Linked DNA regions of Rattus norvegicus. The protein of the gene in region 1 interacts with the protein of each later gene in a pairwise test. Links are inferred from orthologs where the notes say so. Each region holds a gene or a part of one and is shown on either strand. Other genes may lie near its edges.

Region 1 (6,984 bases):
GTCTTAATTTCAGAATTCAGTTCTAGTAGTTAATGGCTGCTTCTGGAAAAATGAAAGAAACCAACAATATTAATTAAAAAAATAATTCCAAGAAAATTATATTCATTACTTTACAAAAATGTGCTTACATACATACATAAAATGTTTCATGAGTATTAAAGCCAAATTAAGTATTACTATAGAAAATACTTAAATACTTTTATGAGGACATTTTGGAACAAAGGAAGTTTTTTTTGCTCATGATTACACAGAAAGTGGCAGAGCCAGTAATCAAATCCATCAAGTCCATATTTGTTCTCAAGAAAAATAATGTAATATTTGAATCTGTGAAGCCTTCACATAGCACTAATTTTTAATGAAGAGACTAGGATTACACATGCCTATATTGTTTATTCTTCCCCTTTCAGAATATAGCATACTTTCTCAGATGGCAGCTTATTAATCTTCAAAATATTCCTACACATCTAAAAATGTTATGTGATGTAGCTGGTTTGTGAAACGAGGCCAGAAGGAAGGCACTTACCCTGTATTCTGCAACCAGGAATGGTTCTGCAACCAGGGTCAGATCTCCTGATCCTTACTGTATAGCAAACTTAGCTTTTCTGATGATGACCTAGAAGGTCAAACAAAGAGATGGAAAAGGACAAAAAAAATATGAGATGGTGATTTTCTTTTCCATCAGTAAATACAATTTTATCTCACACAAAGAGCATCAAAGCTAATAATGTACAAATTTTATTTTCTTGTGGTTTTATTTTCAAATAAATGTACTTTATTGCATGTTTATCAATTTTAGAAAAAAAATAACTAATTTCTATTAAGGATAATGTGAAATAAAAAAATTGTAAAAGAAGAGCAGTACAAGCGGATGCGAATCCATCATCCAGCTCCAACAATTACCAACTGAAGGCCATCTTGTTTCATCTGTAACCCCACCCACTGCTCCCCCCCACACGTTTTTTTAAGCTATCGAAAAAAATGACTTCAGAATTCAGAAAAATTTCAAATATATACCATGGGAAAAAGACAAATACAAGAAACCCCATCTGCCCACCCCTCAGTTTAAACAATTATTAATCTAGGGTCCCAATTATACCCCTCCCATCTCTCTCTCTACCGCTGAAATTATTCTGAAGCAAATCCTAGTCATCCACGTATTTTGAAGCCATTTTGACATTATTTAATCCCTAAGCATTTATATTTATTTCCACAAAATAGAGCAATCTAAAAACACAACCACATCGTCACCATAAGCTTCTAAAAAATAATCTGGCACTGATTTCATTGAAGAATATTAATCCTGCATTTAAAAATTCCCGATGCGTCTTAAAGAAAATTTTACAATTGGTTTGCTCGAATTAGGATTCAAACAAGGCCTACTCCTCGCATGTGCTTCATAAGTAGCTCGTTTTCGTTCGCGTCCCCCTACCTTTCTCTTTTTGACTTAATGTGGGAAAATTCCGACCCCCAGCCATTCTGAGGTAATTCTGGGCTATCAAATTATTTTATTGGTAAGGCTTAATAAATGCCTATCGTCATAATTTCTTCGAAGAAAGAGGATGATGTACAGAAAAAGATATGATATCAAGCAAATTTGCGTCATTTAAAATTTTTCTTCCTCAGAAATATCTATCTTTAGTAACAATTGTTCCTGTCTTTCGGAGACAGGCTTCACGTCGAATGCCTTACACGCACTATTTTACTAGGCACATCTGAATCCGCGACCGAGATAGCTACTATTATCACCATTTTACAAACATGGAAACCGAGACACAGAAAGGAGCCTTGCCCAAGTTGGGCGTTGGCGAGCAGGAATACGCATCCAGTTTTGCTTGAATGTGAAGGCACTAGTTAATCCTATCTACAAGTCAAGAAGGAAAGAGGAAATCATCGACCCTTCCTCCCCACCCCCACCCCGAAACCTGAAACGAGAATCCAGTTCTTTCCAGCAGCCGACGTGTGACCACCGCTGCTCCTCCAACCGCCATAGTAAAGCCAGGTTTCTCTGGCAACTGATATCCATAGGCAGACACGTCACCCTGGAGGCGGGCTTAGCCCTTCAGCCAATCCTAGCCATCTTGTCTAAGTTTTAGAATGTTCCATACCCAAATGATTGGACCACCGCCCCCACGTCAGCAGTGACACTCCGCCGCAGTAAAGGCGGGTGCTAGCAACCTGCTTCTTCATGGTTAGGGCCCAAATCAAACCAATGAGCGTCCTTCTTCAGTGCGGGCTCCGACCAATGACGGTCGCCCTTTTAGGTTCTTAGCCCGCCCTCCAAGTGCGCTACAGCCGTTGGGTCAGAAGTCTATAGGGCAGCGTGTTCACGTGGCCCGTTTTCACGACCCAGAGTTCCCCTGGCCGTGGGTTTTTTTTTTTTCCCCCACCTTCTTTCCCTCGCGCTCTCCTTCTCTCCTGCAGGGAGGCATTATGGGTTTGTGGGTCCGTTCCCCCTCCCCCGCCCCCGCACCACAGGGAAAGGAAGTGCCGACGTGGCCTGCGGAAATAGGATAGGCGGAAATGAGCTAAGGTTCCCGGGAGTGGGAAGAGCGAGGTCAAACCAGCGCCACGCCCCCGAGCCTGTTGCGCAACCCTCAGAACGGGAGAAAAAAAAAAAACCCAACCAAACCAAAAGGAAAAATGAAGGTTTTGAGGTGTATGCGTGTGAGGGTGGTGAGTGCCATCGGGCGGATGCCCGGATGCCTTGAGAACTGGGGTGTATGCGCGCGGGCACGCTCGCGTGGCTGTGGAGTGTGGGTGTGGGCGAACAGCCGCCCTCGTGGCGCCGGGGATGATGGGTGTGCGCAGGCGTGCAAGCTCTCGCGGTGGCGGGAGGGGCCCTGAGAGTGTGTGTAGGTGAGGTCCCTCATTTTGGTGCATTTCTGCCTTTTGATGTTTGCAAACTGCATTAATAAATAAGACCCAAGAAAGTACTAGTACAGAGGTAAAGGCCTTTTGTTAGAAAAGCCTGCTGATTTAATTTAATCCCCCCTTTTTATCTTTCTTTGCTCGCTCTTTCTTTTTTATTTTATTTTATTTTATTTTCTTTATTTATGAGGCCTGTTCTAGCTACGTAGGCTTGGCAGGCCTGGAACACAAGAGACCCACCTGTCTCTTCACGGCCTCCCGTGCGCTGGCATTGAAAGCATCGGCCACCCCACCCAGTCTGATTTAATTTTAGACCCTAAAGATGCTTATTATTCCCACAATTTAGTCCAACAAAATAAACTTCTTCCATGGTGAGCATTCAAAACTATATTAGTAACGTAAAAGGGCGTTTCTTTTAAGTTTCCAAGTGTACACCCCGCCCTCTCTGTCTCCAAGGCCTCACCTTTGCCCCTCACCAAGATTACTGAGAACCTCCCTTTTGCCCCCCACCAAGTTTATTGCTAAATTGGTAGAAATAATTCTAACGAAAACAAAGACAATTAAATTCCCCAGGGGTTGGGGATTTAGCTCAGTGGTAGAGCGCTTGCCTAGGAAGCGCAAGGCCCTGGGTTCGGTCCCCAGCTCCGGAAAAAAAAAAAAAAGAACCAAAAAAAAAAAAAATTCCCCAGTGATACAGACTATGCCAATTTCCCGTGGATGCTAAGCCTCACCTACCTTTTGTCCTAATCTCCAAGCGTAGCGATCCAATATACATTCGGTCAGTTTTCCAGAAAGTTCATTGGATGAGCATTATACCTCTTGAATCTGCCACTAGATGTCACCAAATCCCAGCAAAGGATTTACTGCTGGGTTCCCAGGGATTGTGAGATTTAATTTTTTGCTCCACCCACTTCTTACAGGATCCGTAATCTCTGGATGACTCATATATATATATATATATATATATATATATATATATATATAAAATTCTTAAGAATAAAATCAAGTTCTGTGAAGTAATAATACTAGGCAAGGAATTACATATCTGAATATTTTGGTTAATTTCCTTAAAGAGAAAAAGTCATCTGTTCTTCTTGCATTTCTTTCTCCCTTGCCTTTTGATTTTACTCAGGATTGATACATGGGCCTAAATTCTGATGCTAAAACCCTTTGTGAGCTGTATGAGCACTTGAGCAGAAGGAGGGCCCTAGATTAAAGGCCGCATAGATTATATATTGAGACCCTGTCTCTGCATAAATAAATCCATGAAAGAATATTCTTTTTGCTTTTTGCCCGCTTTTCAGTACTTAACAATTCCTCTAGTCAGTCTGTAAAGGTAACTCGGAGGTAAAGTTAGACCTCAGCATTGCGGATTATCTTCCTCTTCAAACTTATCAGGTATGGGTGTTTACACCCCAATTTTATGTGATGGTTCTGTGCCCTCCTAAGCAAGTAGGTAGAAGCTTAGTATACCAAAAATTCTATTTTATCATGGCGAGAGTCATCACACAACACTCTTGGTTCTTAACTACAGTTTTCCCAAGGGAGCTCACGTTTGTGACGCCCTTACCTGAAGATCAGGCCTAGTCTCCGATGCAGGAGCCCGAGGAGACTCTCTGGCTGCAGGGCAGCTCAAGGTGTGTCTCCAGGTGTGCAGCAAAAGACCGATGCGCTCGATCTTCCTGCTTATATACTCGCTGTGTAGCGGGCGTCATGGGATTCTTGTCCTGTGTCTGGTTATCTTAGTGACTGATGTCATTGGGGGCTGGTTATCAGGTACAGCCTTGGGTGTCCTGGACCTCCTCCTGACTAAGCTGTTTTTGTAAGACAAAGGGCATTTCTTTTTACTATTCTCATTACATTCCGAAAAACTCGGTTGTGTTTTTAGAGTCAGATAGGAAATAGTAAAACATTTCACTTAGGTTTCAGAGCGCATAATAACATAGCCCTGAGGTGTGTGTGGTTTTTTTTAATTTATGTACCTGTGTGGCCTGTGCATTTTGGGGCTAAAGTTCACCTTTCTTTACGTCTTTTCCTCTATTGCTGTTCGCCTTATTTTTTTACAGAAGGGTCTGAGTAAACTCGGAGTTACTCTATGTGCTATTCTGGCTTGTCACTGAACTCCCAGGATCTGCCTGTCTCTACCAACAGCCCCCCTTAAAACACTGGGGTTATAGATCAGTGCCCTGTGTTCAGCTTTTATATATATGCTGGGGAACTGAACTTAGGCCCTCCTGTTTGAGCAGCAGACATTTACCCCTCCCCGGACATCTCCCCAGTCAGACCATCGATTTTTTTTTTAATATTTTCTATATTTCAGATGTATTAAATTCCTTCCCATAGGTATTTCTTTTTCTTAACAGAATTGTACTACATTATAATCAGCCAAAAATAGGTTTCAGGCACTAATTATATGTATTTATCCACCCGAGGGTGAAGGTTTTTTAAAAGATTTTAATTTTACTGTTTTTAATTAGGTATTTCTACACATGTGTATGTGTTCAGAAGTCAGAGGCACTGGATCCTCCGGAGCTGGGATTACTGGCTGTTCTGAGACACCTGACATGGATGCTGGGAACCTAACTCGGGTCTTCTGGTAGAGCAGCAAGTGGTCTTAATGGCTGAGCCACGTCTTCAGCTGCAAAGGGGAAAGGTTTTTTAGAGCGGTTCTCCAAAAATCAGAAGCATCAGTAAAACTCGGTAAGTTATCAGAATATTAGATTCATAGGCCCTGCTTTATGTCTCACAAATCAAAGGTTTTCTGGATGGAGCTTGGCCATCCACTACAAATTGTTCTAGTAAATCCAATGCACTCTAAAATTGGAGAACCACTGCTTTGGAGGGCTACAATTCAACACTCGTTTTTGGACACCACTAGAGGGTGCCATAGAACGTGTAGCAAAATATTTTGCGATATACCCTGCATTGTATCTGTCTTGTTTTGCTGATTAAGAAATTGCACATTAAGTGTCACCATTAGTATTCCTCTTTCAGAGTCTGAAACTATACGTTATATATTGTTTCCCACTTTGACTACTGTTGACTGAACCATTAAAAACACCATTAGGAAAGCAAATCAAATATGGAAAAATAGCTTGATGCTTTTCATATGTTGTCTCTTCTCCATTCTGTAATAGGGCATCACACAAAAGCTCAGGAGTAGTCTCTTTATTTCTTATCTCTCAGTGCTCTTTCTATTCTGTAGTTACCATTTTTTGGTGCATGTCATATGTTTTATGTATGATAAACACAGTTTTGAAAACTCATTTATGAGTTACTCTATTGCTTTATACACTCTAGTCCCACTAATAACTTATAGCTTATATATAGCTTATATACACTAAGTTATAGCTTATAACTTAGGTGACTGCATCATTTTATAGTGGTGACAGCGAGTTCTTACTAGAATAACTTACCAGTTATTTTCATTCATATGTAATTTACAAGTAATAAATGAATACTTTTACTGAATTACTAGATCATTCATGGCATTTGGGATTCTAGTATTGAGCTTTCAAGTTCTCTGGTTTACATCCTATTTAAGTGATTTTTCTTATTTTTTTATTTGTGAGATATTGATGCTTTTGATCCAAGAGGAAATGTGGAAAAGTTTCTCTGTTCTATTTTGACCAGTTTTCAACCTGACACCAGACATGTACTCTTCAGGCTCCCTCCTCTAAGCCATTCCAGTGGCAGGATTTTGGCTCATTGAGCACTGTTAGTACCAATTCAAGGAATTCAACCTTGAGTGAGGCTGACCAAGTACTATGACACACCACATTGTGGTGCTGTGTAGAATAACTATGTGCTTGAAAACAGAAGTGTTTCAGATTTCAAAGTTAAAATTTAAATTATTTCTTAAAACAAGTTCTCCTAAATTTTCTAAACTTTAGTGTCACCACCTATTACATGGAAACAAACATTTCATGTTCTTATCAGCCACCCTGTATAATACAGTATCCAGCTAACATATATGGCTATTTAAGTTAAAATTCATTAGGATAAAAAAATCGGTGCAGTTGGTTGTTCTGCCTATATAATGTTACTAAACTGTTGTCTAAATTTAGATATAGATCATTTTCACCATCACAGAATGCTCTGCTGGGCCACTCTGAT
Region 2 (6,961 bases), on another chromosome or scaffold:
CTTGGAGTGCCACAGCAGGCCAGTTCTCATTGCCTGGGACCCTGCAGATGGCAGGGGGGCGGTTTCAGTCACAGGCAGTAGTCAAGATGGTCTGACATTTCACTGTGCTCATCCACCCAACAGCTGGACTTGGCTATGGAGGATAATAGGTAGCGGCCAGGTAGGCAGGAGTTGGGGGTGGGTGTCCTAAGAGTCTCTGATGAAGGCTCATAACCTTACTGCATCCAGCGATGCCAAGAAGTCATCTTAAGTGTACCCTATGGTTATGAGTTCTAGAGTGGGGGACCCTTTCCTCTGTAGGAAGAATTTAAAAACCAACTTGTTTTAGTAGCAAATCACACAACTCCCAAGATAGTTTTTTAATGCTTTAATATCCTGCAAATGAAAATGTGCTTCAGCCATCAGGCCACTGGCTTTTCAGCCTGATGGCTGTTCCTTTGTTCCACCCCCTTATTTGGTCTTTTCCAAGTTACTAAAATTACAAAAATAACCGCTAAAAATTCTCTGTATCTGGCATATAAAAACAGCCAGACGTATCTCAGTAGTTACCTTAAAACAAAACAGCTCAAAAAAACACATCACAGGTTTAACTTCTGCAGTATTTTTCTTCATACAAAACACTAGTAAAATAGGCTTCTTAAAAATTAAATAGTGAAATACCAACTAAATTATATACACTATTACAGTACAAGTGAATGAGGCAAAATATCCAGTTCTATTTCCCAGATGGGGGAGGCCTTCTGTGCACAGTGTGTGCTGTGTGAACTCCAAAGACACCTTCTCTGGATGCCAGTGCACAATGGAGTCTTACAGGAAAAGCAGATGCAAAGACTGGGCACCCAGGGAGGATGCCTGGCTCCTGAGGACAGTGAGGGTGACGTCTTATTGCTTGCTGACTCTTGGTCCTCTGGCCCACGCACCTGCTCTTCTCCACACACTGTGGGCATAAGGGAACTGACCAGGAGAAAGCAAGAGGCTGGCTCAGAGGCTTCACCATCCAGCAGAGTGGACACCGGTCTTGCTGGCCTTTTGGACCAATCAAGTGCTCTGGAGGTCTGATGACACAGCGGAAGCCCCACTAGCATCTCTGCTGGATGGCCACATTCACCCAGGGACCTGAGGACAGGCAGCTGGAGCATCTCTTGGCCACCTGGGGCTGAGGTGTCTATGTGCGGCGCCTCTTGGCAGCACTGGGGCTGGAGGGATTGCTGTTGGCAGTCAGGACCTTGTCAGTGACCCGGCTGCGCTTCCGCTTGTCTGCCCCTTCTTTGCACCCCAAGTCTGAGGAGTTCTTCTCTTTGTCTTTGCTGGATTTTTCTAATGCTTTCCCCAAGCTCCCTGAAGATGAAAAAACTGGGAAACAAAATCATTTGGCTGAAAACAGAATATCCAGAAACTCATCTCATTTTCCTCTTCAGCTAGAGAAACCAGGCGTTCGGACCCAGTATGTTCCCCGGGTAAGTGCCCTGTACAGCTGGGCTCGAAGAGAAACCGAGTCTCTCAGGGGGTCTCCTGTCTAAGCCCACCCAATGCCCCCAGCCTTGGCCTCGGCCCCTTCCTCATGGCTCTCAGAGGCCCCCAGCCTTGGCCTCGGCCCCTTCCTCATGGCTCTCAGAGGCCCTCCCACACTGAGTTCATCTGAAAGGGATGCTTCGCTCCTGACTCTCAGCTTCCTGACCTCACTCTGCCTGAGGCTGGCCCGTGGTGGTGACGGCTCCAGAAGGCACTTCCACTCACCGTCATCAGCCCCACTGTGGGGGTCCACATCCTCCTTCATCTCCTCCTTCATTTCTTCTTCAATGACCACTTTTCCTGTGGAGGAGACAGCTGCCGTTCACTGGAAACCCACGGTGGTGGCCAGCGCTGGGGGACGGTCTGGCCAGGACTGCTTCCGACTCTCGCTGCCCACACAGGCCTCGGCGTCCATCGTAAGACGGCATCCATCAGGAGACTGCCTTTGAGCACCGCTCGCCCCAGCCCTCGGCTCCCCAAACCTCCCAGGCGCCACTGGAGGCGTGGTCTGAGCAGGGTCCTTACACCTCCCTGGAGGCCCCAGACCTCCCCACCTTTGGCCTGGTGAGGCTTTTTTTATTCCCAGCCCTGGTGGTGGCTGAGTCTCACCTTCTCGGACTTCCTGAATGATCTCATCGGGAAGGACAAAGTTCCTCTCTGGATTTGGGAATGGCAGAATCTCAGACTCGTGCTGCCGGCACAAAGCGTTTTGTATTTTCAAGAAACAGAAAACAGGGTCTCCGCTCACTAAGCTGTACGGAGGAGCAGGCTGGAGGCTGCGAGCTGGTGGGGCTCCTTGCTCCAGCTTGCAGAGTCCACCTCAGCTGGGCTTCTCAGATGACTAGGGAGGGCCAGGCTAGCACCAGCCAAACCAAACCAGAGGAGAGGACCAGGTTCATGCCACCGAGAGAGCCCTGGAGTCATAGCAGCTCCCCTGATGTGCTCACAAGGACCTGACCTGTTCACCATTGTAACACTCCCACCAGGACAATGTATCCAGGGGCGCCATGACCAACCACAGGCCCCTACAGCCCCACCCATCCTGGTTACGTAGTCTCACTGCCTGCCAGACACTGCAGACAAACCTGACTAGCAAGGTTACTAGTTACCTACACACGAGTCAGACACTGCCAGCTCTCCAAACCAGTTACCTAGCTACCCTCTCTGCTCTCAGAAGAGGAACAGTCTAGCTCCCACAGTATACAGATTCTCAAAGGACCCCAATACCGACACTGCACCCTATTACTGCCTTTTACGGTGGCTGAGGCTTCTCTATCATCTCAGCGCCCAACTATCTCCTTGACACTTTGTGCCACCAATCTAAAGTAGGTGTCCTGAGAAAGTGGTTAGTGAATCCCTAGTTTGTGCTTTTCAAGGCAGGATTGAGGAAGGAGCCTCATCTTTTGAGATCTTTGCATACCAAACCCCAAGTGAGAAGAGGGCTCTGTCCTGTACCACAGAGGACTCTGGGAAGGCAGCATCCGGGACTTGACTCCACCTTCAGCCCCCAAATGAGTGGGCCAGGGTCCACTCACCAGTGCCTGCATGTCGTACATAGTGCTCAAATGGTCCCAGATCACCTTGGATGGAACCTGGCGCCCAATATTCTGGCTGAACTTGTCTCGGATACAAATCATGTGGAAGTGTCGATTCACCCCTGAGAGGCAGGACAGTGGGTTGAGGGTTAGGATAGCACCTCTGTGCAGAGGACATGGGTGTAGGAGGGGCAGGAGTGTGCAAACCACAGGTGCAAGTGTTGCAGGAGTCAAGTGTCAAAGGGGACGAAGGGTGCCACAAGGCAGGTGGTTAGGGTGTATAGTAGGCGGGTCCTGGGCAGAGGGGCTGCAGAGGCGGGGAGAATGGAGGCGTTCCCTGGGGTAGGACTGTCTCAAGGGCAGGGAAGTCAGGAGTGTCCCCTGGGAGAGGGCTTCTCGGGAAGGAAAGTCATGGTCTCTTGGACTAACAGGGCACCCCAGAGTGGGAGGTCCCGCCCGTGCGGGGTCGCAGGCTCCGCCAGCCCGCCCGACGGTTTATCCCGCCCCACCCCCACGCCGGTGCGCGGCGCGGCGCTCACCGACAGGCTTGTGGCCCAGCATGGCGTGGAAGAGGCACACTTCCACTTCAGGGCTCCACACCACCGTCTCCTCAGCAGGGCTCGGGGCTGCCTCGCCTGGGCCCTTATCGCCTGGGGCGCCCGTGCCGCCTACCTCGGCCTCCCCCATGGCCGCCGGCGAGCGACGAGCGCCCGGCGCGAGAAAGGCTACTACAGGCTCCGCGCAGGCGCACTTGGTGTGGAGGGCGCGCACTCGCAGGGCTCGGGAACGCCGCGTGCCCGGGTCCGCGCAGGCGCAACGAAGGCTGGCTTCCGGTGCAGCAGCGACTCCTGGTGGTTGGCCCTTTTACTGCCTACGACTCTGTCCCGAGAGGAGCAGGAACAAACCTCATGCTTTAAAAATGCACCAGCTGGGCCTTCAGAGAGGGAGAGGCGAGCGGATCTCTCTGAGTTCTGAGTCAGCCAATTCGGCATAGCATGACACACACGGCCCAAAAAAAATCTGGGCTTCACCTGAGTAGATAACTTGGAAAAGACTCAGGCTGCACAGCTAGAAGTGTGTCTCCCTTTGCCAGTGATAAATTGTGCAGTATGTAAATTACACATCACGAAAACTGTTTAAGAAAAAATAGCTAAAAAACAACAAACAAACAAACAAAAAACCCAGGGGCTAGTGAGATGGTCCGTCCATAGAGATTCTTGTGCACAGACTTGGTAACTGGAGCTCCACCCCTGGATCCTAGAGGGGGCAGGAGAGAAGCAATTCTTAAGAGTTCTACTCTAGGGCTGGAGAGATGGCTTGGCAGAATGATAACTGCTCTTTCAGAGGTCCTGAGTTCAATTCCCCGCAACCACATGGTGGCTCACGACCATCTAGACCATCTATAATGGAATCTGATGCCCTCTTCTGGTGTGTCTGAAGATAGCTACAGTGTATTCATATAAATAAGTTTTTTTTTAAGTTGTATCTAACCTTTATATGTATACCATGGTATACTCACACTTTTGCACGCATGCGCGCGCGCGCGCGCACGCACGCGCACACACACACACACACACACACACACACACACCATAATTAAAGACTTTAAAACCCAACAACCACATTTAGTAGCCCTGGCCTGGGTGCAAATGACAGTTTCAGAATTAAGTGCTTCATTGGCATCAAAAGACAGAAACCTGGGCCCTGTTGGCCTTACCACCCCCATCTTGTCCCTACAGTGGAGGCTGTCAGAATTTCAGGCAGGTGTTAGTATCTCTACATGGGATTGGGTAGGGTCAAGTGCTAGGCACAGCAGCCTTAAGAACATGGTCCCTACTGGTCTGAGTCACCCCAGTCAGCTGTACCATGACCCCTACCCTGCCACCCATCCAAGCTTTTTTACTCACCTGACCCTCAGCCACGGGCAGGCATCAGAATCCCTTTCCTGACTGATGTCTCTCAGCTGTGTGACTAAGATGTCAAGAACCTTTGTAAGACCACGTTCTTCTCTGTGCTATGGGGCCACTGTAGCTCTGAACTCTGGGGTATTGATAAGAGCCATCTGCTGGCTACCGCAAGCTTTGAATCCAGTCCTGGCCCTCCACTTGCCCCTCACTCAGGCCTGCAACCAGATAATGCTCACAACAGGGGACTGTGGAGGGTTTCCCTTGTGTAACCCTCAGCCTCATCCATTCTAGCCAGTTCTCTCTGTTCTGTGTGACCTCTGTACACGGCAGTTTGCAAACATCTGTCCGTCATTTCAGAGATCTCTTGGGAACGTGTGGCTGGCAATCAGACTTGATCCCTATGGACAGGTTAGATGGTATAGGAGAGAAGAATGGCTTCATTCTTTCCACGAAGCCACAGCCCGTTTCTCTGCCAGGTAATAGGAAGTGTCTGAGCACGGAGGTCAGGAGCTAAGACTCTGCTCACTATCTCATGCCAACTGTAGCATGACACTGTTCATTTTCACGAGCATGTAGGCTCTACAGTCCAAACCCACGAATTAAGAGGAAGCTGTGCTTGTTCATTTTGTAGCTCTCCTGCGACTGTCGCTCTCTAACAAGGAGCTGTAGAGAAACCACTGGCCCATGATCATGTGTGTGCTCCTGCAGCTTCAAACTGAATTCACACCTGCTGGGAGCTGAGAGATTCCTTCAAACCTGACAGAAGGGTTTCTTTGGCCTGGGGCAGGTGTCTGTGAGGCACACCACCAACTTGTTGTAGAAGTCGCTGGTGACGTTTACTCAGATCTGTCTTCTCTGTGAGGTCTTCAGGTTGGTTCCAGGCGGCCAGGATAGGATTGGCTTCGCAGCAAGGTTTCCTACTTCCCAGATACAAAGTGGACAGTGATATCCAGTAGCCAACTGGTCAACTCTTTCCTCATTTGCTGGGACTTCTGCTGCATGAGTCTTTTATACAAGATGGATACGAGTGCTAGGATTCTTGATCCCAGGGTGAAGAGTTCAGACTGGGCCCCAGTGAAAAGTAAAGGCTCTAGAAAGGCTGTCCCTCATTTAACGGATACACAAGCCTTATCGTTTACTTTGGCCAGTATGAACTATTCCCCAGACATTCTCAACCAACTGATATTTCTTTTTATTTACTCAGTTGCTTATTCAGGGTCTTATGTATCCCAGGTTGGCCTCAAACTCACTCTGTAGCCAAAGATTACCTTGAACTCCCATCCCCAGTCCTCCACCTCCTAAGTGCTTGGATAACAGGTATCTGCTAGTACATATGCTGGGGACTGAACCCAGGACTTCATACATGCTAGGGAAGAGCCCTACCAACTGAGGTGCGTCTCCGGCCTCCTAAACAGTATTGCTTGTCTGAGGACCTGATGTCTCGGGAAGGAGATGGTCACTACTAACTAGAAGGAGCCCATTCCCACTCCGGAAGGAACATTTAGCTCTTGGTCACAAGAACTGGATCCAATGGGAGGCGTATTTGTAAAGGCTCTGGTTAGGTGCCATCCTGAGACCTTTGGTCACATTGTCTCTTTGCAGACTGCATCTCTGAAGTGGTGAAATTTCCCACAGTGTGACTGGCCCCACGTTGCTCCCTTAGCACGTGTGGGAGACCGAGGGCTCTGGACAACAAGTTCTGCTTTGGAGTCAGTCAGCCTGCTGTGGATCCTGTTCAACTGTGTTCACCCGATGGGAACAGGCCATCCTCCGGACAACATCCGAACACCGAGAACAGCTCTGCTGTCTTCTCCTGTGGGCTGTGGAGCATTAGAAACTGGGAGCCTAGAACTAAGCAGCTGTCAGGCAGGACCCTTGGGTTTCCAATTCAGGTACAGTATTTCCCTACAAGGATTGCGGCTAGGTTGGACACCCATGCCCTGACTAACATAGCTTAGCTCCACCCCCTCTGCCTTCCTGTTTATGGTAAGTTGGTGTGATTAAGGA

What was found. The genes of interacting proteins can lie anywhere in the genome.
Region 2: the proteins of Morf4l2 (region 1) and Mrgbp interact in binary tests that used the Homo sapiens proteins (3 or more experiments, as listed by UniProt). The two-hybrid records come from large-scale screens. The link is inferred for Rattus norvegicus from reciprocal best matches to the Homo sapiens genes MORF4L2 and MRGBP.

Annotation. Positions count from the first base shown.
Region 1 is NC_086039.1:104,881,439-104,888,422, forward strand, and holds the start of Morf4l2 (mortality factor 4-like protein 2), read right to left. Parts: upstream 4,509-6,984; 5' UTR 4,439-4,508; intron 3,764-4,438; exon of another isoform or gene 3,604-3,763; intron 2,674-3,603; exon of another isoform or gene 2,221-2,673; intron 2,111-2,220; exon of another isoform or gene 1,923-2,110; intron 614-1,922; 5' UTR 524-613; intron 1-523. UniProt on the Homo sapiens protein: Component of the NuA4 histone acetyltransferase complex which is involved in transcriptional activation of select genes principally by acetylation of nucleosomal histone H4 and H2A.
Region 2 is NC_086021.1:188,071,554-188,078,514, reverse strand, and holds Mrgbp (MRG/MORF4L-binding protein), read right to left. Parts: upstream 3,761-6,961; 5' UTR 3,735-3,760; coding exon 3,587-3,734; intron 3,170-3,586; coding exon 3,048-3,169; intron 2,204-3,047; coding exon 2,122-2,203; coding exon of another isoform or gene 1,813-2,121; coding exon 1,738-1,812; coding exon of another isoform or gene 1,517-1,737; exon of another isoform or gene 1,354-1,516; coding exon 1,166-1,353; 3' UTR 353-1,165; downstream 1-352.